Linked DNA regions of Saccharomyces cerevisiae S288C. The gene in region 1 interacts genetically with each later gene. Each region holds a gene or a part of one and is shown in the gene's direction. Other genes may lie near its edges. The genes, in order: MYO5, BZZ1, ARC40 and SHE4.

Region 1 (7,510 bases):
AACCTGTCTTATACGTCGGTGCTGGTATTTTAAACCATGCAGATGGTCCAAGATTACTAAAAGAATTAAGTGACCGTGCTCAAATACCTGTCACCACTACTTTACAAGGTTTAGGTTCATTCGACCAAGAAGATCCAAAATCATTGGATATGCTTGGTATGCACGGTTGTGCTACTGCCAACCTGGCAGTGCAAAATGCCGACTTGATAATTGCAGTTGGTGCTAGATTCGACGACCGTGTCACTGGTAATATTTCTAAATTCGCTCCAGAAGCTCGTCGTGCAGCTGCCGAGGGTAGAGGTGGTATTATTCATTTCGAGGTTAGTCCAAAAAACATAAACAAGGTTGTTCAAACTCAAATAGCAGTGGAAGGTGATGCTACGACCAATCTGGGCAAAATGATGTCAAAGATTTTCCCAGTTAAGGAGAGGTCTGAATGGTTTGCTCAAATAAATAAATGGAAGAAGGAATACCCATACGCTTATATGGAGGAGACTCCAGGATCTAAAATTAAACCACAGACGGTTATAAAGAAACTATCCAAGGTTGCCAACGACACAGGAAGACATGTCATTGTTACAACGGGTGTGGGGCAACATCAAATGTGGGCTGCTCAACACTGGACATGGAGAAATCCACATACTTTCATCACATCAGGTGGTTTAGGTACGATGGGTTACGGTCTCCCTGCCGCCATCGGTGCTCAAGTTGCAAAGCCAGAATCTTTGGTTATTGACATTGATGGTGACGCATCCTTTAACATGACTCTAACGGAATTGAGTTCTGCCGTTCAAGCTGGTACTCCAGTGAAGATTTTGATTTTGAACAATGAAGAGCAAGGTATGGTTACTCAATGGCAATCCCTGTTCTACGAACATCGTTATTCCCACACACATCAATTGAACCCTGATTTCATAAAACTAGCGGAGGCTATGGGTTTAAAAGGTTTAAGAGTCAAGAAGCAAGAGGAATTGGACGCTAAGTTGAAAGAATTCGTTTCTACCAAGGGCCCAGTTTTGCTTGAAGTGGAAGTTGATAAAAAAGTTCCTGTTTTGCCAATGGTGGCAGGTGGTAGCGGTCTAGACGAGTTCATAAATTTTGACCCAGAAGTTGAAAGACAACAGACTGAATTACGTCATAAGCGTACAGGCGGTAAGCACTGAATTTCAAAAACATTTATTTCAAAAGCATTTTCAGTAAAAAATGCAGACTTTATTATTATTTAATCGTGCTTCTTATATATGACATTCTACCAAATCGGTAGTCATGTATATTTTTTTCGTATATACTTTATATATTTTTTTCTAAAAAACTAATGACGGCTAAAATTAAGTCATAGATGAATAATAAGTTCAATTCAAGTGAGTTGGTAGTATTTGATAAATCTAAAGTGGATACGTAGCATATGTATTCAAATGGTGTGTTTTAACTCGTCGGACACGACTTCTTTCTCGTTTTGTCAATCATCAAAAATATTTCTCGAAAAGGGGCCGTCAAAAATTGCAAGCTTGGAAAATACAAACTGGACTATGTATTTAAAGGTTATAGTTTATAATAAAGCATAAGAACAGTGGCCAATACGAATTTAACCGCTTTATAGAAATGGCTATCTTAAAAAGAGGAGCTAGAAAAAAGGTACATCAGGAGCCAGCTAAACGCTCTGCGAATATCAAGAAAGCTACTTTTGATTCCTCGAAGAAGAAAGAAGTTGGTGTGTCTGATCTGACGCTTCTTTCTAAAATCTCCGACGAAGCCATAAATGAAAACTTGAAGAAGAGATTTTTGAATGCTACAATCTACACTTATATAGGTCATGTGTTAATTAGTGTCAATCCATTCCGAGACCTCGGAATCTATACTGATGCTGTTATGAATGAATACAAAGGTAAGAATAGATTGGAAGTTCCACCCCATGTATTTGCAATTGCAGAGTCTATGTACTACAACATGAAATCATATAATGAAAATCAGTGTGTTATTATTTCAGGTGAATCAGGTGCCGGTAAAACTGAAGCAGCTAAAAGAATTATGCAATATATTGCGGCTGCTTCTAGCACACATACGGAGTCAATTGGAAAGATTAAAGACATGGTTTTAGCCACTAATCCATTGTTGGAATCTTTTGGCTGTGCAAAGACTCTAAGAAATAACAACTCTTCTAGACATGGGAAATATCTAGAAATAAAATTCAATAACCAGTTTGAACCATGTGCTGGTAATATCACAAACTATTTATTGGAGAAGCAGAGAGTTGTGAGTCAAATTAAGAATGAAAGAAATTTCCATATATTCTATCAGTTCACGAAAGGTGCTTCCGATGCTTATAGGCAAACATTTGGGGTCCAAAAACCGGAACAATATGTGTACACAGCTGCTGCGGGTTGCATATCTGCTGAGACAATTGATGATTTGCAAGATTATCAAGAGACATTAAAAGCTATGAGAGTTATTGGTCTCGGTCAAGAAGAACAAGACCAAATTTTCAGGATGTTAGCTGCAATTCTTTGGATTGGTAATGTTTCCTTTATAGAAAATGAGGAGGGGAATGCGCAAGTTAGGGACACCTCAGTAACCGATTTTGTTGCTTACTTGTTACAAATAGATAGCCAATTGCTGATTAAATCACTTGTGGAAAGAATTATGGAAACCAATCATGGTATGAAAAGAGGGTCAGTGTATCATGTTCCATTGAATATTGTCCAAGCAGATGCGGTTAGAGATGCTTTGGCAAAGGCTATTTACAATAACTTATTTGACTGGATTGTGAGTAGGGTTAACAAATCTCTGCAGGCTTTTCCAGGCGCTGAAAAATCCATTGGTATTCTTGATATTTACGGCTTTGAAATTTTTGAACATAACTCTTTTGAGCAGATTTGTATCAATTATGTTAATGAAAAGTTACAACAAATCTTTATTCAATTGACATTGAAATCTGAGCAAGAAACTTACGAGAGAGAAAAAATCCAATGGACCCCAATTAAATACTTTGATAACAAGGTTGTGTGTGATTTGATTGAGGCAAGAAGACCACCTGGTATATTTGCAGCAATGAATGATTCTGTTGCAACTGCACACGCGGATTCAAATGCTGCTGATCAGGCTTTTGCTCAGCGTTTGAACTTGTTCACAACAAATCCACATTTTGACTTGAGATCTAACAAGTTTGTTATTAAGCATTATGCCGGTGATGTCACATACGATATTGACGGTATTACAGATAAAAATAAGGATCAATTACAAAAGGATCTGGTAGAATTAATTGGTACCACTACCAATACATTTTTAGCCACCATTTTCCCGGATACTGTAGACAGAGAATCAAAAAGAAGGCCACCTACAGCAGGCGACAAAATTATAAAGAGTGCAAATGATTTGGTTGAAACTTTATCAAAAGCACAACCTTCATATATCAGAACAATTAAACCAAACGAAACCAAATCTCCTAACGATTATGACGATCGGCAAGTTCTACACCAGATTAAGTATCTAGGTCTGCAAGAAAACGTGCGTATCAGAAGAGCAGGTTTTGCATATAGACAAGTGTTTGAGAAGTTCGTGGAAAGATTTTATTTATTATCTCCACACTGTTCTTACGCTGGTGACTATACATGGCAAGGTGATACCTTAGATGCTGTTAAGTATATATTGCAAGATTCCTCTATCCCACAGCAGGAGTACCAATTGGGTGTCACAAGTGTTTTCATCAAAACACCTGAAACATTATTTGCTTTGGAGCATATGAGAGATAGATACTGGCACAATATGGCTGCCAGAATCCAACGTGCTTGGAGGAGATTTTTGCAAAGAAGAATTGATGCGGCCACTAAGATCCAGCGCACCATCAGGGAGAGGAAGGAAGGTAATAAGTATGAGAAGCTCCGGGATTATGGTACGAAGGTTTTGGGTGGAAGAAAAGAAAGAAGGTCTATGTCCTTATTAGGTTACAGAGCCTTCATGGGTGATTATCTATCATGCAACGAGTCCAAATCGAAGGGCGCTTATATCAAAAGACAAGTGAGCATTAAAGAGAAGGTCATCTTTTCCATACATGGTGAGGCCTTGCATACAAAATTTGGCCGTTCTGCACAAAGATTGAAAAAAACTTTCCTATTAACTCCAACTACATTGTACATTGTTGGTCAGACTTTGGTCCAAAATGCTATGACCTATACTCAGGATTATAAAATCGATGTGCGAAACATTCAAGCGGTTAGTTTAACCAATTTACAGGATGATTGGGTCGCCATTAAGTTGGCTAGCTCAGGTCAACCTGACCCCTTAATCAACACATATTTCAAAACAGAACTCATAACGCATCTGAAAAGGCTTAACGACAAAATTCAAATTAAAATAGGCTCGGCGATAGAGTACCAAAAGAAACCTGGAAAGTTGCATTCAGTGAAATGTCAAATCAATGAATCTGCACCAAAATATGGCGACATATATAAATCCAGTACAATATCAGTTCGTCGTGGTAACCCACCTAATTCTCAAGTGCACAAAAAACCGAGAAAAAAGAGTTCAATCTCTTCAGGATATCATGCTAGTTCCTCGCAAGCAACGAGGAGGCCAGTTTCGATTGCTGCAGCCCAGCATGTTCCCACCGCCCCGGCTTCTAGGCATTCTAAAAAGCCTGCCCCTCCACCACCAGGAATGCAGAACAAAGCTGCTACAAGAAGATCTGTTCCTAATCCTGCTTCCACTCTCACTGCATCCCAAAGTAATGCCCGTCCTTCTCCCCCTACTGCTGCCACTCGTGCTACACCCGCTGCTACACCCGCTGCTGCCGCAATGGGCTCTGGTAGACAGGCAAATATCCCTCCACCACCTCCTCCACCCCCACCCTCTTCAAAGCCAAAAGAACCCATGTTTGAAGCGGCTTACGATTTTCCTGGTTCAGGATCACCATCTGAGTTACCTTTAAAGAAAGGAGACGTAATTTACATTACAAGAGAAGAACCAAGCGGTTGGTCTCTCGGGAAACTTCTGGATGGCTCTAAGGAAGGTTGGGTGCCAACAGCTTACATGAAACCACATTCCGGAAATAATAATATCCCTACTCCTCCTCAAAACAGGGATGTTCCTAAACCCGTTCTGAATTCTGTACAACATGATAACACCTCTGCAAACGTTATTCCAGCTGCAGCCCAAGCAAGTTTGGGTGATGGTTTGGCGAATGCGCTTGCTGCTAGGGCCAATAAAATGAGATTAGAGAGTGATGACGAGGAGGCTAACGAAGATGAAGAGGAAGATGATTGGTAATCAAAATGTATTTAGCGAGTATATACTCTATACGAGCAAATAGAGTAAATTGTAATTAATAAATATTGATATATTATCGCCCATATGAAATTTTTAAACGAAAGGTTACTTATACATCAAATAATTAATTAACCTTAAACATTACGTTCAGGAAGAACAATGAGCGTAAATGGTACTAATTAAAATAACGGCGGCAGATAATGAAAAATATTGGCGTAACCCCCACTTGTTATTGCCATTTCTGTCAAACCAAGGTTTTCTTTCCATCGCAAAACGGACGAGCTTTTCCTTTTGTGCGCTATTTGGAGGGTATCTCATAAAAAGGGTAAAATCATTCCAATATGGTTGTTTAAAAATTGTTCTTTCATGACTAAAGGTATTGAATCCATAATATCCACCATAGTTACCATAACCTGAAGTACCGATCCCTCCAAATGGAGCGTCGGTAATTCCTACATGAATCACTGTATCACCGACAACACAGTCACCAGATCTTAAGCGCGTCAAGATACGATTTATTTCAGTTTGGCTATCAGAGAATATGTATTGCACCAATGGAGTGTCATGTTCTTCTATTATCTTGTTAATGGTCTCATCAAGATCCTCGTACTCAATGATGGGCAATACAGGAGCAAAGTTTTCCTGTTTCATCAAAGGATCATCCCAACCAATGTTATAAACTATGGTTGGTGGTACAAGGCATAGATCCTCAGTATCTGAATTGATAGAAATTTTTGAAGGCACAATCTTGGAGCCGTTAGTTGAGTTTATACTTGCAACGGCCTTTTTGTAAGCAGGCTCATGAATCATACGAGTGAAATCTGTTTGTTCATCAAAGCTTGGATAAAATTCATTTAGTACTGATTCACACTCTTTAATGACTTTTGGATAGATAGATTTATGTACTAACAAATAATCTGGTGAAACACAAATCTGGCCAGAATTTCCGAAAGCACCAAAAAAAATCCTTTTCAAAGCAATTTTTATGTTACTTGCTTTGAAATTTTCTGTAATAAAGGTAGGTGATTTACCACCAAGTTCAAGTACACAAGGTGTTAGACTTTTTGCTGCTTTCTCAGCAACTATTGATCCGACACGGGGAGAACCTGTGTAGAATATTAGGTCAAATTTTCCACAATCTAGTAGTCTTGTAGTTTCATCTATAGCTCCCTGAACTACTTGAATCAATCCATCAGGGAAACCAGCTGTGGTTAACAAATTTTCCATAACTACAGCAGTGTGTGGTGTTAGTTCACTTGGCTTCAGAACAATGGTGTTACCTGCAGCAAGAGCTGCTGCCAATGGGGCAAATGCTAAAAGTAGGGGAAAATTGAAAGGAGCAATAATCAAGACACTGCCCCTTGATATTTTCTCCACGATTGTTTTACCAAACATAAATGGAGGAGAAGAATCAGATACTCTCCGAGGTTTGATCAATTTTGGTAAAATCTCAATTAGGTGAAGTATATCGTTCATAAGTTTGGTCGTTTCATTCAGAACCGATTCAATTTTGTTCCGATGAAAGTCCTTGTACATAGCATCGATCAGTTCTTCCTCATGATCTTTGACGGCATAATAGAGTTTTTTCAACTGCAACTGCCTGAATTCTAGATCTTTTTTCCTTGGGTTATTTTCGTGGGACAATTTCAATTGTTTCTCAAAGAAGAAATTTCTTGAGATTTCAACTATTTCATCTATTTTAGACACTGGGGTATAATTCAATATTTTTGAGCCGTCGTTTGACATGTTGGTGATAAATTACTATGGCTATGGTTTTAGAATATTCCTTTTAGATAATCAATATGCCTGAAGTTTTGTTTTTTATATATGGAGTATCCGTTTATCCCTAAAATCCGAAGAATCTCCTCCTAAAACGACAAAAAAAAGGGTAAGCAATCCACCATCTAATTAAATCACTAATATTAGATTGAATTTTCGAACCTATCTAAAAGTGGGATCTTGATGTAAAATTGACTGATAGATAAAAGGCTTGGAGTCGATAGTTGATATATCAGTACACCGGTAATTGTCTATTATATACCCTGTTGGCATGAAATCCATATAGGACGGTATATATTTATATATAAAATGCATGTAAAAATCTTTCATCATGAACTACTCGGAATTTTTGGCTGGAAATTCGTTGTTCCATTTCCTCTAAGTGTCTTGATCATGTTCTGGTGTGCCTGTACTGGAATTTGGTATACTATGTGGCTGCTGTAATGATAATCTAGCTTCTCTCTCTTCT
Region 2 (5,695 bases), on another chromosome or scaffold:
TAACGAACTCTTCTGTTTGTAAAGAAGAGTGGTAAATCGTCTTCAATACTTTGTCAAATTCAGATTGGTGATCTGACAAAAATCTAACTAATTTCGTAGCATTTTCTGATTGTTTGGTTATTCTCATTTCGTAGGTTCTCAGGGATCGCAACAACATGAAACTTTCCAAATTTGCCACGTTTGTACCCAAGTAGATTCTGTCGTCTTTTAGTTGTCGGGAAGTTGCTTCCTCTTTGACTACAAGGACGCCACTTAACAAGTCAGAATGACCACCAAAGTACTTAGTAGCAGAGTATAGGACAATATCGGCTCCGAAATTCCATGCGTATTGCAATGGAGGAGATGCGAATGTGGAATCCACTATAAGCAGGGCGCCTTTTGCATGAGCTCTGCGGGCCAAACTCTCGATATCAGAAGAGGTACCATATGGGTTTACAGGAGATTCCAGATGGACAATGTCACCTTCAGAAGCACATTTTTCAATATCTTCCAAGGGGTGTTGCTCAATGCCGTAATTACGGGTCAATATGTTAGCAATTGCTCGAACACCATGGTAGCTCTGTCCGATAAAGATCTTCTTAGGGTTGTAATGTACCATTGCCGCATAGAACGCAGCTAACCCTGAAGAATAAATGACAGCATAACCATCGAGGATCTCTGAGAAGATACTCTCTAATCTGGTGCTATTTGGATGCGCTAGCCGTGAATATACGGGCTTCTTCTCCATAAAGTCCAAGTTTTCACGCTCTGTCCATGGAATTAGGTCGTCATCGTCGTAACGGAAGGTTGTAGAGACATTAATTGGGGGCGCCACGTCAGTAACCCTGTTATCTTTATCATCGCCATGAATCAAAGCTGTTGACAAGTCCACCATCTTACGTACTCTTTTCGTGCAATCTTTCCTTTATAGCATGTACTACAACATTTGAAGAGATGGAGGGATTGCAACGATCTATTGTTGCGCAATATGCTTATATATCGCGTGTTGCATAAACCCATCAAGTGATCGCACTCTGAATTAAACACCGCAAAAAAATAGAAACCACAGTTTCACCATTTGACAAGAACTCACAAGATATCCTTGAGGTCTATCAGTAAGTGGTTAATCCCGTACCAAAGCGTATGTGAAGGACTTCAGAAACAGTTATTTCACGTACTACAATTATTACAACTGGCCCTCTTTCCCTTATATATACTGTAAATATTGCGACTGACATGGAGACCACATAATCACACGTGATAAATAGTCCCGTTCAACTTACGTATATAATGTGATTCAGTGTTCCGCCAAGGAGTAAACTCCTTTAGTTTAAGGTCTGCTTATTTTTGCAACAGAAGCCTGCCTTGGCTTTCGAGATACTAGTTTCTGGCTACGGTTTTCTATTCCTTATCATTTTAGCCTTATCATACTTGCTGAAAAGTTGCAGATATCTCCACGCTCTTAAATGAAAGAAAAAAGGGCGTTTTCCTCCTGTATGAATGAAAGAAAAAATTCATGTTATGTGAGCAAGTAGGTAAAAAGAAAGAATAAAAGGTTCAGCTTTTCTATGTTCAGGATACAACTGAGAACTATGTCCAGCAAAACATGCAAGAGTGATTACCCAAAGGAGTTTGTCAGTTTCTTAAATAGCTCACACTCTCCTTACCATACAGTTCATAACATCAAAAAGCATCTGGTGTCAAATGGCTTCAAAGAGTTGAGCGAACGTGACTCGTGGGCTGGCCACGTCGCACAAAAAGGAAAGTACTTTGTGACAAGAAATGGCTCTTCCATTATTGCGTTTGCTGTTGGTGGAAAGTGGGAGCCTGGTAATCCAATTGCCATTACGGGTGCTCACACCGACTCCCCCGCATTAAGGATTAAGCCTATTTCTAAAAGAGTCAGTGAGAAGTATTTACAAGTGGGCGTGGAAACTTATGGTGGCGCTATTTGGCATTCATGGTTTGATAAGGATTTGGGCGTTGCCGGAAGAGTTTTCGTAAAGGATGCGAAAACTGGCAAATCCATTGCTAGATTGGTGGATTTGAATAGACCTCTGTTAAAGATTCCTACTTTGGCTATTCATCTGGACAGAGACGTAAATCAAAAATTCGAGTTTAATAGAGAAACTCAACTGTTGCCGATTGGTGGTCTGCAAGAAGACAAAACTGAAGCGAAAACTGAAAAGGAAATTAATAACGGTGAGTTTACCTCCATAAAAACGATAGTACAGAGGCATCACGCAGAACTTTTGGGGCTAATAGCCAAAGAACTCGCCATTGATACAATTGAAGACATTGAAGACTTCGAATTGATCCTTTATGATCATAATGCATCCACTCTAGGTGGGTTCAACGATGAGTTTGTCTTCTCTGGTCGATTGGATAATTTGACATCTTGTTTCACATCAATGCACGGTTTAACGTTGGCGGCTGACACAGAAATTGACCGAGAATCAGGCATTAGATTGATGGCATGCTTTGATCATGAGGAGATTGGCTCATCCTCCGCCCAAGGGGCAGATTCTAACTTCTTGCCTAATATATTGGAAAGGTTGTCCATCCTGAAGGGGGACGGTTCTGATCAAACTAAACCTTTGTTTCACTCGGCAATATTGGAAACTTCCGCTAAGTCGTTTTTCCTTTCATCTGATGTTGCTCATGCAGTTCATCCAAACTATGCAAACAAATACGAAAGCCAACACAAACCCTTATTGGGTGGTGGTCCCGTAATCAAGATTAACGCGAATCAACGTTACATGACCAATTCACCAGGGTTGGTCTTGGTGAAAAGACTAGCAGAGGCTGCTAAAGTCCCTTTGCAATTGTTTGTCGTAGCTAACGACTCACCATGCGGTTCTACCATCGGCCCCATTTTGGCCTCAAAGACAGGTATTAGAACTCTAGACTTGGGTAATCCTGTGTTGAGTATGCATTCGATTAGAGAGACCGGTGGCTCTGCAGACCTGGAGTTCCAAATCAAGTTATTTAAGGAATTTTTTGAACGCTACACTTCCATAGAATCTGAAATTGTTGTCTAAACTGCAATTGTTAGATGATTCATAATCCGGTATATTTATTGCCCTCTTTTGTATTTTACAAATAGTAAATATATATAATATCTTGTGATCTACATAAGCTTTCGCGGGGTCTTCAGAAAAATAAAAAGTTTTTAAAAGAATATACGCTTAGCAAAGGAATAGACAGATTTAGTTTGTACGCAAATAGTTTTTGAAGAAGGTAGCAGATTGATCAATTTTGTATGAGCGGAAATCTATCCTTAAACGCCAACTACTACATTACTTGCAATAAAAATGAGTGCAGATTTATCGATTGGTAATGAAATTAAAGATTCATTTAAGGAAACCCATAAATGGGTCCAAAATAACTTAAAATGGTTGAAGGACATTGAGCAATTTTATCGGGAAAGGGCTAAGTTAGAAAAAGACTACAGCGAGAGATTATCTCGCTTATCAGCAGAGTACTTTAATAAGAAGTCTTCGACCTCAGTTCCTATCTCGGTAGGTGACACACCTACTACCACGCCAGGGTCCATTGAAGCTGCAGGTGTGGTTGCATGGAATGAAATTCTATCTCAGACTGATATGATTTCCAAGGATCATGATCAGTTATCAACCGACTTTGAAAATCATGTAGCAAATCAATTGAGTGGATTATTCACTAAACTTGATATGACTTTGAGCAAGATAAATGGATTTAACAATGACATGGTTAATAAAAAGGATAACATTTACCACGAACTGGAAAAAGCGAAGAAGGACTATGATGAAGCCTGTTCCACTATGGAAATGGCAAGAAATAGGTATACCAAGGCATCTAATGATAGAAATAAAAAGAAGTTGGATGAAAAAGAAATGGAGATGAACAAGTGTAAAAATGAATATTTAATCAAGATCAACCAGGCAAATAGAACTAAGGATAAATACTATTTTCAAGATGTTCCTGAAGTGCTAGATCTTCTACAAGACGTAAATGAGGCAAAGACCCTTTTCTTAAATGATCTGTGGTTGAAGGCGGCTTCTGTCGAGAACGATCTGGGTGCAAATGTCAGCAAAAGACTCCAGGCGGCAAATTCTGTTGTCAAGCAGAATAAACCCTCTTTAAACACGGCCATCTTTATCAAGCACAATCTAAAGAATTGGAAAGAACCACAAGACTTTGTCTATAAGCCATCTCCAGTATGGCATGATGATGAAAAATTTGCTGTTCCCTCGTCGTTGGAAGTTGAAGACTTGAGAATAAAACTGGCAAAAGCAGAAAATGATTACAATTCATTGCAAGATAAAACTCAAAATGAGTTATCCAAACTGTCTACTTTGAACAAGATAAAGCACGAAATGAAAACTAATGAAGATAATATCAATGCCACTAAGTTTTATGATACACTAAAGGAATACTTAAATGTCGTTTCACCCTTTACCTCACACGAAACATTAAAATTGCAAGCCGAAGTTCAAATCGAAAGTATTCAGAATAATGTTCCTGAAGAATACGATTTATCCACAGACAATATTGATCTTTCCAAAACAAAGAAGAAATCCGGGATATTCAGTAAGTTCAAACACAACATCCTGAACGTCGACTCGAAGCCTTCGAGTGGAGGGAGCACTGGTAATGGCAACGGAGGACCCTTGCATATAACAAGTCTCTTCAACACATCAAGAAGAACTAGGCTAGGCTCTGCCCCTAACAACGCTGGTGAAGATTCAGATAATAATTCTATACGCACCACTAGTACCAACAATACAAAAAAGACCACACAAAATTCCAGTGATGACGGCAAGAATAAAGTGTTGTATGCATACGTACAAAAGGATGATGACGAAATCACCATTACGCCAGGAGACAAAATCTCTTTGGTTGCACGCGATACGGGTTCTGGATGGACTAAGATAAATAACGACACCACTGGGGAAACCGGCCTTGTACCCACCACATATATTCGCATATCTAGCGCGGCTACAGTTAAAGCAAATGATAGAGGCCCTGCACCAGAAGTACCACCACCAAGAAGGAGTACACTACCTGTTAGGACGATGGAGGCCATATATGCCTACGAAGCACAGGGAGATGATGAGATTTCAATTGATCCGGGGGACATAATTACTGTTATCAGAGGCGATGACGGTAGCGGGTGGACATATGGTGAATGTGACGGATTGAAAGGTCTATTTCCTACAAGTTACTGTAAATGAACGAAGGAATGAACTGAAACTATTAAATATTTTCCCTGGCCGCCACTTTTTTGAGAGGTATGACGACTCTATGTTATATATATATATATATATATATATATATATAGCACAAAATTTCATGTGATCAATCTACTAGGCGAACACCTAAATTGTTATTTATTTCCATGTCTATATCCATTTCAATGTCTGGCTCATCTTCGTCCTCGTTTTCGAATTCGGATTCAGATTCGGATTCCAAGGTAGTCTCCAAATCACAGTTTGTCCTACAGTTCGGACACATGAATTGAGGATAATTCATAATAACCAATCTTCTTACACAATGAAAATGCCAACTATGGGCACATGGTGATATAAAAATGGCTTGGCAAGGTTTTATTTTGTTTAGACAAATGGAACAGTCTTCTTGTTCTAAACCAGTAGTTAGTTTCTGTAGATTTTTTATTCGGCTCAAGGCTTCTTTATTAAATGCATTGGCCTTTAATTTCCAAGACTTGTTCAAT
Region 3 (5,313 bases), on another chromosome or scaffold:
GACATATTGTAAACTTGCATCGTGATCTTCATGTGTTCCAAGAGCTGGAACTGGCAAGGTTGAAAAAATTAAATCCGAACTCTTTGACATTTGTGTCATCACATCATTCAGAACCAAATGTTGAGCAGTGCTGGGAAGATCATTGAAACCTAAATTTTGCATCGCTGTGACTAAACTATCTTTTGAACAACAAGGTGATAATTCGGGAAGAACCGGTTTCTTTAATTTGTTGCCGTTGCCAATACCGCTCCCAGTACCGTTCCCATTCGAAAGGTCAGGTTCGGCAATTGGGATCAGTGTCGGCTGTTCACCCGTGCCATCTTCCACGACTCTCGTCCTCGGCAAAGTATTACTCGAGAAAACGGGTCTTAACGACTGTGTTGACACATCGCTTTGTAAATTCTTTACGAGTAAATTTGTTCTGTCGGAACCGGTCTTCGATTTGGTCGTTAAGTCCTTACCTACTGAAATATTAGTCGATGCCGAGAAGGCATCACGAATTGACGTAAGATCTGTATCCAAATCGGAGTCCTCACTCTCGCATGGGGTATCAATGCGGTTAGTTGGCATTCTCGTATTCATTGTAAATGAGACACCCAATTTCTGAACCCCAGACGTATATTTTCTTGATTGTGTAAATTGCTTTGCTATCGTTTGAGGTTCAATAGTGGAAAACCTCCGCTTCGGTTTTAATGTATCACGAGCTTCAACCAAATCTTTCCACCATTCATTATCGGCCAATTTCGAGTTGACATAATCAAACACGATTGGGTCTCCCTTGACAATTGTGTTGTATACTCTGAATTGATCTAAAGATACTACCAAAACCTCTGCGTCAATTCTTAGAACCTGTAATAGCTTTTTCATTCGTTGAGTTTCGTTCGTTCTATGATATTCTTGTTCCACAAATAAAATAACTCGAAGCGAATGTGTGCGCTTCCATTCAGGAACAGTAACCAAAATGGCAGCTAATTGTAGAATCAGTGTATACGTATCAAAGTTAGTAGTGATAGCCGCAGGCTGGTCACCCTTTGCCTCAACTTTTCCGCACATTTGGATGGGATAAAGATCTATAGTTTTTTTTGGAAAGCAGCTGTCCCTTTTGTTCGGTATCTCTAAATTTTTGAATCCATGCGCTATGGCAATATTGGATTGCATCAGTGATAGATCTTCTACAATTTGAACCCATTGTTGTACATTAACTTTGGTTTCATTTTTACACTCATCCGTAGGCAATGGAACATTGATTTTGACATCAGAGCATGTACTACGTGGCACTGTAGCTTTTATTTCCACCTGTTTCTGAAGGTTATTTTGGCTGCGACTTTGTGGGATGTGCTTTCTATAACTTTCGAGGTCAAAAAAACCGACAACAGTAATGTTTGGTTTCATACCTCCAAGCCCGGAACCAATAAAAACATTCCTAATTCCCCATATAAGGGAGGGACCAGTCCCAACTTGGACAAAAGCCTTTATTGCTGCCATGTCTCTGATCTTCATCCAAGCTTTCTGCTGAGTTTTTAATTCATTTAGTTGCTTCGGAAAATCCGCAGTTACTGCAACATGGCCTAAAATATACAAACCACCTTTTTTCAAATGATTGCAAAACCTTATTAAGTTCCAGCTCGTCCTTGGATTATCTACAAACAGCAATATTTGAGGCCTCCAGTATTTAATATTGTCTTGACGTAGGCGAAGCAAATACTTTCTCACTTGATGATATATTAAACTTTGAGACACATCACCCCAAGACTTCGGTGGTGAAAAATAATGAATGAATAAAAATAGCAAAATCATAGCCAAAAACAAGACAGACGCTGAGATGCCATCAACTATTAACATCGCAACAACAGAAAGTAATGCGCCAATTGCTGTAGTATACCTGTTAAAGTATTTGAAAGAGGGCCTGAAATTGGGAGCAGAGGAAATACCTAATAGGAAGCACGCCAAATTCATGACCACAAACGTCATTAAGAATGTCATTGTGATAAATGTGGCGATTTTATTGACGTCTGAAAACAAACATAGCTGTGTTAGAATCCAAGTAAAAATCAATGAATATAACGGTGAATGAGCAAAAATCTCCAAACCAGGAATAATGTTATCCTTTGCAATTGCTTCTAATACATAAGCAGCACCGAGCATCCCCACTATGATGGAGAAAAGAGAAGTAGCCATTTCACCCATGAATATAACCCACTGAACGGAACTGATCGTCTGTATAATTTGTACTTCATCATATAACGATCTTCTGGGAATGGAACAACCCATGGAGAAGACAACAACGGCATAACAGATAAAAGTGAAAAGTAAACCCCATAAGGTACCCTTAGGAATTGATTTAGAGGGCTTTCTCAATTCACTTGACATTCCTGCGCCCGCGAATATACCAGCTGTAGCAGGAAAAAAAACGCCAAATAAATCATTGAATGTTTCCTTACCTTTGAGTAACGAACCTGCTGCACCTTTTGTTAAGTGAGGGAGCAGGTTATCATGAAAAGTTTGCCATGAAGGACCTGTATAACTGATACCGCCTTCAGTGAATGGCGATCTTATCAATGCAGAAAGTGGAATGGAAAATATAGAAGCTGCCAGTACCAAAAAAAGAATATTCCCTGCTCTTGACACTGTTTGCGAGCCAACAAAAGCCACAGAAAAACATAAGAAAAGAATGACCGTGGCATATGTAAATTCGTGCCAATGCCCTCTTGGTAGTAGCTCTCCCAAAGCTGCAGGTGGCTCGCCTTGAGCAGAATAACCCAAGTTATAGAGTAAAGGTTCGATAATACCCACTGCGTTCATACCTGCATTGAACACCTGCCCTAAGAAAAAGACAAGCCCAATGGATCCACCAAATTCAGGTCCTAAACTTCTTGAAATCATATAATAAGCACCCCCGCCCCTAACAGTCCCGTTTGTAGATATAGCAGATATACTTAACGTGGTGAGAAGATTAATAGTGTAACTCAATAGCAGAAGACCGATGGTGCATATAATACCTAACTGACCCAAAATGAAGCCAAAACGAAGAAACATAAGGATAGACAATACGTTTAAAGCAGTAGGCACAAATACCCCATCGTATGTTCCCAACTTATCTTTGTTTGGGTTATCAGGATCATACTTAGAGGAAACTTTTTGGCATTCAGGGGTCGCCTGATAATTGAAATATGTTTGACTTATTCTCCTTGCAGACAACAGTGAAGAAGATTCATTTGAAGAAGATATTGCCGACGATGGCCGATGCGTACCTGGAATCTGATAAAACCTACTAACCATTAATCCTACAAGAAAGGCCTATTCTTAAAGAGAATTGGCTGGCAAAAACACTGTCTCTATCACTTCTTCGACAACAAGCACAACCATTTCTTAGATTTCCTTGTTACTCTTTAACAACAATGTTGATAATGAATCCTACGTTATCAGTTGCACAATTATCAAAATCTTCTTGTCACCCGCCCGCGCCTTGCCTATAATGAAAAAGGGTCAAATAAGAGCAATCTTGATCGAGAAAGCTTCCAGATTAGAAACAAAGAAAAATAGGAAAAATAAGCCGAAGTAAACGTATATTAGTTGAGAGTCTCCTAATGTCATTTTCCAATTCTAAAGACAAGTCCGTTGTTGCCGTCTACAAGCTGGTCAAAGCGCCAATCTACTCTCATTGCTTTTCTCAAGATAAATCTATTTTAGCCGTTACATGCGAAACAGATTGTCTTGTCTATAGAGTTTCAAACAACACACCTCCCGTTTTATTCGCAACGTTGAAAGATCATGATAAAACCATTACTGCTGTGGACATTTCCATACATGGTCGTATTGTGACTTGCTCCCAAGACCGTAATGCTTACGTTTGGGAGCCATTGAGTGATGGGACATACAAGCCCACGTTAGTACTTCTTCGTATTAACAGAGCAGCTACTTCAGTTACATGGGCACCAAATGGTTATAAGTTTGCTGTTGGGTCCAGTGCTAGAATCATCGCTGTTTGTTATTACGAACACGAGAATAATTGGTGGGTATCCAAGCACATCAAGAAACCCATCAAATCTACCATCAATTGCCTGTCTTGGCATGCAAATGGAGTCCTATTAGCTGCTGGTGGTACTGATGGGTTTATGCGTGTGTTCAGCGGGTTTATCAAGGGTTTGGATTCCAAGGAATCCGTCGCCGGATCACCCTGGGGCCAGAAATTCCCTTTTGGTTGTTTAATCAGGGAGTGGTATCAGGGTTCTTATATCCATGATGTGGAATGGAGAAGTCAGATGGAAAGAATTGCTTATGTAGCGCATGATGGTACTTTGAATGTTGTCGATTACCAATCTCCAGTGCAATCTGTCAATGCTCCGGAAGGTTTACCTTACAGGTCCTTAGTATGGATAAACGACCACGAGATTGTTTGTGGAGGATACTCTTGTCATCCGGTATTGTTCAGCGAAGCCTCTGAAGGCTGGAAATTTGCGAAGAATCTAGACAAATCAGACAATAACAAGTCTTCTGCCTTAACTGCATCTGGTAATACAGACGAGCTGAGTGGTAATAATGATGAAAGTTCAACTTTCGGTATTTCCGCATTGAGAAAGTTTAAAGAATTAGACTTGAAAGGTAAAGTTAGCACAGATGTCCAAGAAAGTGCACATGAAAACGCCATTGTGGAATTAAGACCTTTTGCGGAATCCAACGGCCAAATCACACAAGTCTCTTCCTGTGGGTTAGACGGTAAGATCGTCATTTATACAATTTAAATATACATACGTATATATATATATTGTTATGTGTATTCCCTACCTCATAATACACCTTGAGTTTGTATTGTTTTTTTCTTCACTTGGCATATACAGACTATATTATTACAACTCACAGCACAATGTAGTGTACCGTAAAAAATAAAGCATCAGAATCAATTTCTTGCACCAAACCATTATTTAGAATTGCTACCCAAAGACTCCTGTTCTTGCTTTCTTTGCAAGATAAGCGAGTACACGCTACCTTTTAGCAGTGTCCCAACTAAACCAATTTTGACCTCTATGTCCCTCATCTCCTGTAGTATCTCATCTGGCGATACAGTTTCTTGCTGTGAATGCTGTTGCCTGTGTTGCGAATAGTTTAGTTCTTTTATAGTTTCATCCAGAGCTTTTAGATCTAAAGAAAGCTGTTTGTATTTGTCCAATACTTCTTGCTGTAAAGGTGAAAGATTGTGTTCCATACTGTGACTACAACGCCGTGTATGTTTCACAGCGACTTTGACTGGCTACTGTAAGCTCTTCTTTTGTATTCTTTGGAATAGTTTATTTACATGTAATTACTGTAATAGCG
Region 4 (6,550 bases), on another chromosome or scaffold:
CCCTGATTAAGATCGTATTTTCTTCCAGATATGCTACTAATATAACTTTCGGGGCCGCATACCAATGCCAACACAGGCATAATATTCTTGTTGTTAACGTTGGAAAAGGGGAGCAGACCTTTGTATGGGTAGGGCTTCGTGATTGATTTCTGGATACTTTTCAATACGTCTTGTTTAGTTTGTCGGTCTGTTTCAAAAATTTTTAACTGGACCCTGTTTGAAGCTTGAAGTCTTAAAAGGATAGGATACAAGGGTCCCAGTTGTTTAATGTTCTTATCCGTATGAAATAACTTTATAGTACCTCTAAATGGTGATTCAGTCAAAAGTAGTTGCAACGCAGTAACTATTCCGGTACCAGCGGTGAACATCATTATGTCATAAGGCTGGTAAATAAATTGGGAATTTTCTCTAACGTTATTGCCCCTTTCATTGCGATTATCCATGTATAAACAATCGCGAGATCTTTTTAGCTCATTAGGCAAATGAGGAAACTCATAATCGATAAACGGGCCTCTTATTTCAATTATATGTCCCTTGGGAAGATGGTGTAACCATCTTGCAACTTCTCCATTCTCATACTTCTTAATATAGAAAGATAATTTTCCATCTGCATTGTCACCATCTTTTAAGATTTCAATCTCTTTTGAAGCTGGGTTAAATTTAAGCGGTAGAGGCGTATAATTGCGGACCACCATGACTTCCGGTTGTTTGATCTCGACGGACCACAGATTTTCCGCAGTCATCAATGACCATATGTTAACTTTCTGCTTAAACAACGGAGTTACTTCCAATAAAAAATGTGATGAATCAATATCTCGCTTGTGTGAAATCTTGTACTTGACAAAATAAGATGGAGATAACTCATGTTTGTTTTCCCTCTCACTTGTGTACCTGTAGGTTAAATAACTGCTTACTGCTCCAACTGTCAGTAGGCAGCCTGTGATAAAAAAGTTCTTAGAGAAGCTGCTCTTTCTAGGTGACTTATGAAGCCTACGTGTTATTCGGGAACTGGATAGAACATAATTTTTCCACAGCATGCTACTTTTTCTTTTTTTCGTTTCCTCTTTTCTATTTTTGAAGGGTTCTTTCAACACGTTGCACTCTTCGAAGTTGTATTTTTCACTTGGGTTAAGTGAATTTTCACTCTTCATTAGGGTATGATGATATTAACAACATTTCAGAAGGGCAAGGAAAGGCGAAAAACTGAATTATGGAATATACTCTCTCTTTGCGGCTGGTTAAGATGCGACGGCGTAGAAATATTATGAGAGAGCCCATGCATTGTACAGTGAAAGTGCAAAACAAGTTCATTAACACGAATCTGTTTTAAGTGTATATATTATGTATATGATATTTGACGACGTGTGTTGGTTTGGTTTACAATTTCATAATGAGAAAAATAAAAAGAAGCATTACGAGAAGCACAATCAACAAATACACCCTCCATCTGCTCGTACGTTTTTGGTACCGCATGGCCTTCCTTAGCTCGTCTGAAGCCAATTGAGTGTTATCTGACGTTGTATAAATATTTGCTTCAATATTGTCAACTAGCACACCCTGCTGTTGAACAACACTTCCCAAATCTTTAAAAACTTCGTTCAGTTCCGTTATACCTCTTTCAATATTGCTGATTTCCTGGTCTCTTTGCTCGATAAGATTTTGCTGATAAGCAAACTCTTCGTTATTTATCGGGTCTCTCTCAATGACTATTTGGCTGCCTGGTATTCGAGTACTTTTTGAGCTATTCTGCCTTTGTTCTTCATCTAATAAAGCAGCATCATTTGCCATCTCACTTGCTTCAAGAGATTCTTTTGCTCTTTCATTAACTTGTTTCATTACTTGGGTAAACTGCCGCTGAATACCTTGAAACTCTTGAAAAGAGTAACTGACATCCCTCACAAGTTTCTCTCTCGCTATTATTTGAGTCTTATCCAGGCTAGCTTCCTCAATCGCATCCATCTTTTTCACTGATGTATTGACCTTTTTAATGAGCCCGCCTATTTCTTCTATCTTTGCCACAGATCTCTTATTAATTCTTTCCACAACTTTCGCACTAACATCTCCCCGATCTATAAATGACTTAAGTGTCGCGGTAAACTGCTGCAGCGTGCTTATTTGCCCATTTATTTCAAATAACTCTGCAGCAACCTCTTCTTTCAACGTTTGGAACTCAGGTGAATCACTGAATCTGGAACCGTTCCAAACGGCTTCATTATCACCACCAAAAAATTCGTCTTCCGACATCTCAACACAATTATTGTAGTAATTTACGTTATATTCTTCTATAAAAGCATTCTCTTTGGAGTGATAGCAGGCCTGTTTTATAGGGGATTATACTCTGGCGCAGTAGTTCATCGTCGATCATGATGATTATCAGCCGCGATAAGGCACGAAGGCTTAAATCCAATTACGAATCTTCTACTTAATAGTGAAGACGTTTTATCTAAACTACTCACATGAAAAGATTACTAAAAAATTAGAATCACGATGCCACTGTGTGAGAAAGGGAATGATCCAATCGATAGCTCTACTATTGATAGCCTCTGCGCTGCATTTGACAAGACTTTGAAATCCACCCCTGATGTCCAAAAATACAATGATGCTATAAATACAATTTTCCAGCTAAGGCAAAAATCTGAATCTGGGAAAATGCCGGCTGATTTAACGAATAGTGAAGCCCTTAAAGATCGTCAGAAAATCGAAGAAATATTGACCAGGTCTTACCAAGACCATTCTGAGTCCCGCGTACATTTATCTAAACTTATACAGAATGATATTCCCTTCGCACTCAATTTATTTGAAATATTATCAAGATCATCCATCCACGTTTTCGTTGGTTGCTTTTCCAATAAAGACGCAACAATTGCATTGTTAAATGAGCTGCAAATTAGGATACACTATGGCGAGGACACCCACGTCACGTATTTACTGAGCATAATTCTACAACTATTGAATAAGTTCAAGTACAATTTCAAGGAGGTGCGATTTTTAGTGAAGGAACTTATTTTGCGCATAAGCGAAGATGAAGTAAAATCGATGATGCTTATAATTTTTGCTGAATTACAATCAAGCTTCCAAAAAGACTTTGATAAAGCAGTGGTCGATTTCATGAGTAGCTTAATTGTGGAGGCAGAAATAGACGTTGGAAATGATCCATTGTCCATCATAGTCAAAACCCTATCAGAATTATATCCTTCATTGACAACACTTTGTTCTGAAATATTTTTGACCAAAGGACTAAGTAAGCTTTTTAAGAAGAGAGTATTCGAAGAGCAGGATTTACAGTTTACAAAAGAACTGCTGCGGTTATTATCTTCCGCGTGTATTGATGAGACCATGAGAACGTATATTACAGAAAATTACCTTCAACTATTGGAAAGATCACTAAACGTGGAAGATGTACAAATATATTCTGCATTGGTGTTAGTTAAGACATGGTCTTTCACAAAATTAACGTGTATAAACTTGAAGCAACTGTCCGAAATCTTTATAAACGCTATTTCAAGACGTATCATGCCAAAAATTGAAAATGTCAATGAAAGTGCGGTTAAGCTCGAGGAGGTTCCTAAAGTTGAAATGTCCGTTGAAGCGCTGGCATATTTAAGTCTAAAGGCCTCGGTTAAGATTATGATTAGGAGTAACGAGAGCTTTACTGAAATTCTATTAACTATGATTAAAAGCCAGAAAATGACGCACTGTTTATATGGTCTCTTAGTTATCATGGCAAATTTGTCCACTTTACCAGAGGAATCCAATGGTAGTTCACAGTCTATCAATGACTTAAAAAATTACGCAGATTTGAAGGGCCCAGGCGCAGACAAGGTAGGCGCAGAGAAAGAATCAAAGGAAGATATTCTTTTGTTTAACGAAAAGTACATATTAAGGACCGAGCTGATTTCCTTTTTGAAGAGGGAAATGCACAATTTGAGCCCCAATTGTAAACAACAAGTGGTTAGGGTTATATATAACATAACCCGCTCGAAAAACTTCATTCCTCAATGCATTTCACAAGGTGGTACAACTATCATCTTAGAATATTTGGCCAATAAGCAGGACATAGGGGAGCCAATACGGATTCTAGGGTGTCGGGCATTAACAAGAATGCTAATATTCACTAATCCGGGTTTGATATTTAAAAAATACTCTGCATTAAACGCTATCCCCTTCTTGTTCGAATTGTTGCCAAGGTCTACGCCAGTGGATGACAATCCGTTACATAACGACGAACAAATAAAGCTGACAGACAATTACGAGGCACTATTAGCTCTGACGAACTTGGCATCATCGGAGACCTCTGATGGTGAAGAAGTTTGCAAGCATATCGTATCTACAAAAGTATATTGGTCCACGATTGAGAATCTGATGCTAGACGAAAACGTTCCTTTGCAAAGATCAACATTAGAGCTCATAAGTAATATGATGAGTCATCCATTAACGATTGCTGCTAAGTTCTTTAACTTGGAAAATCCTCAGAGTTTGAGAAATTTTAATATATTGGTGAAACTTCTTCAGTTATCCGACGTTGAGTCTCAACGAGCAGTGGCTGCTATCTTTGCTAACATTGCCACCACGATTCCATTGATAGCTAAGGAACTGTTAACCAAGAAAGAACTAATCGAAAATGCTATTCAGGTATTTGCGGATCAAATTGATGACATTGAGTTAAGACAAAGGTTACTTATGCTTTTTTTTGGATTATTCGAAGTGATACCGGATAATGGCACTAACGAGGTGTATCCGTTGCTGCAAGAAAATCAAAAATTAAAGGATGCTTTAAATATGTCTTTAAAGAGAGGCGATTCAGGACCAGAGTTTTCAGCGGCAATTCCCGTTATCCTTGCTAAAATTAAAGTCTAATATGGAAAGAATCGCCATGTTTAACTCTTCTTAATTTTCACTAAGAAATACAACAGCACCCTGATAATGAACACACAAGAACTATGTAAGATTTTCGTAGCCAGAGAATATCCTCTGGTAGTGGTGCCCTTTATATATTTTGTTCTATTTTTACACCAGAAGTATCACACTACTCTAAATTATGTCTGGTACCCTACGTGTTCTAAAAGAATCTGGGTGAGAGAAAAAGGAAGAAAGTGCTCCTTTTTTTTTTTTTCAAAGGTGCCTCGGTCCGATGGCTTCGCAAACAATAGATGCCAAAGGAAATGATCTTCTCTTTTTCGCTTCTTTATTTTTTTTTAAGTTACGACTTCGTGCAGCCTGGGATGTACCAAGCTTGTTGTTAAACGAGCCTGACTTCTTAATCGCTTAATCTTAGTTGAATTTAGTAGTTCCAGTTTGTATGGCTGCTATTTTTGAGTATTTGGAATCATCTTTCGTTCAGCGATCTTTTTATCATTCACTTTGTCGTTTACAATTAGAAAGCGTCAAAACTTTGCATTTTTCATTTAATAATAACTGAACTCCACCAACTTTTTACTAGCAAGTTGTAAAGTTCATCGGTCAGATAAACATCTTAATTACCTGTGAAATACTCTACTGTTTCTTATGACCAGTATGTCAATTATTGATGATGAGAACGTGAAAAAAACTTCTAATGGGGCAGCTGTTGTCACTGATGTGGCTCAACACGCTGTAAGTGATTCGGACAATAACAAAGCGCAACTTCTAGGCGATGGATCCAACACTGAATATGTGGTTGATATTTTCATTGAAGCCGCTAAGGATGGGGATTTAAAAGTGGTGAAGGACGTGGTCGAAAGTGGAGCAGTGGATATTAATAACGACCGCATTGATGAATTATCCGGCTTACACTGGGCCTGTATAAACAATAGGTTTTCTGTAGCAAAGTTCCTATTACTTAGGGGAGCAAATCCTAACCAGGCGGCAGGCCCCGGAGGGGCTACTGCTTTGCACTGGGCCGCAAGGTACGGTAATATCTACATTGTTGACCTGCTTCTCAAACATGGCGCTGATCCGACGCTCAAAGATGAGCAGGGTCTTAACATCATGCATTTTAGCGTTTACAGTTCTAACATTTTACTTGTTGTTTATGTTCTTTATTTTGTCGTAAACAACAATGACAACGTCGATATCGATTCAAAAGATAACAATAACAGAACACCCCTACTTTGGGCTGCTTATCAAGGAGATTTTCTCACTGTAGAACTTTTATTGAAATTTGGCTCCACAGTTGCATGGACGGACAACAGAGGGTTCAATGCTCTCCATTGTGCTCTAGTTGGAGGTGATCAAAGGGTCATATGTGACTTAATACTTAGCGGTGCAAATTTCTACGAAAGGAATAACCAGAAGCAAGACTGTTTTGATCTAGCCGAAGGAATGGGAACCAAATCACTTTTTGAACAAGCGTTGCAACATCATGGATATGACAGGCTTGGAAATCAGAAAGACAAACTGTTCAAGAAAAGCTCGCATGCACAATTCACAATTTTTTTGTCACCATTTTTACTCATGGTTTACATATACTTAATTTCTCTCGTTCTTTCTCCAGTGCTAGCCATTATGCTTTCCCTACTGGTCACTGTTGTCATGGTCAACACATTAAAGAAGTTTGTATTACCATGCCTTC

What was found.
Region 2: mutations in MYO5 (region 1) and BZZ1 together harm fitness more than expected from each alone (negative genetic interaction), as found in Saccharomyces cerevisiae (4 studies listed by BioGRID, with this or other methods).
Region 3: mutations in MYO5 (region 1) and ARC40 are lethal when combined (synthetic lethality), as found in Saccharomyces cerevisiae (3 studies listed by BioGRID, with this or other methods).
Region 4: mutations in MYO5 (region 1) and SHE4 together harm fitness more than expected from each alone (negative genetic interaction), as found in Saccharomyces cerevisiae (3 studies listed by BioGRID, with this or other methods).

Annotation. Positions count from the first base shown.
Region 1 is NC_001145.3:484,985-492,494, forward strand, and holds MYO5 (myosin 5), read left to right. Parts: upstream 1-1,602; coding exon 1,603-5,262; downstream 5,263-7,510. Other genes in the region: ILV2 (acetolactate synthase catalytic subunit), read left to right, coding at 1-1,163; HFD1 (hexadecenal dehydrogenase), read right to left, coding at 5,410-7,008; EUC1 (Euc1p), read right to left, coding at 7,420-7,510. UniProt on the Saccharomyces cerevisiae protein: One of two redundant type-I myosins implicated in the organization of the actin cytoskeleton. Required for proper actin cytoskeleton polarization and for the internalization step in endocytosis.
Region 2 is NC_001140.6:334,790-340,484, forward strand, and holds BZZ1 (Bzz1p), read left to right. Parts: upstream 1-3,293; coding exon 3,294-5,195; downstream 5,196-5,695. Other genes in the region: YHR112C (putative cystathionine beta-lyase), read right to left, coding at 1-874; APE4 (aspartyl aminopeptidase), read left to right, coding at 1,548-3,020; ubiquitin-conjugating protein DMA1, read right to left, coding at 5,320-5,695. UniProt on the Saccharomyces cerevisiae protein: Plays a role in endocytosis and trafficking to the vacuole. Functions with type I myosins to restore polarity of the actin cytoskeleton after NaCl stress.
Region 3 is NC_001134.8:684,867-690,179, reverse strand, and holds ARC40 (Arc40p), read left to right. Parts: upstream 1-3,587; coding exon 3,588-4,742; downstream 4,743-5,313. Other genes in the region: VHC1 (Vhc1p), read right to left, coding at 1-3,279; DAD3 (Dad3p), read right to left, coding at 4,919-5,203. UniProt on the Saccharomyces cerevisiae protein: Functions as a component of the Arp2/3 complex which is involved in regulation of actin polymerization and together with an activating nucleation-promoting factor (NPF) mediates the formation of branched actin networks.
Region 4 is NC_001147.6:396,042-402,591, reverse strand, and holds SHE4 (She4p), read left to right. Parts: upstream 1-2,487; coding exon 2,488-4,857; downstream 4,858-6,550. Other genes in the region: CYC2 (oxidoreductase), read right to left, coding at 1-1,037; SNAP receptor PEP12, read right to left, coding at 1,378-2,244; YOR034C-A (uncharacterized protein), read left to right, coding at 4,924-5,166; putative palmitoyltransferase AKR2, read left to right, coding at 5,506-6,550. UniProt on the Saccharomyces cerevisiae protein: Required for mother cell-specific ho expression. Might be required for the transport of factors (such as ASH1) that promote HO repression from the mother cell into its bud.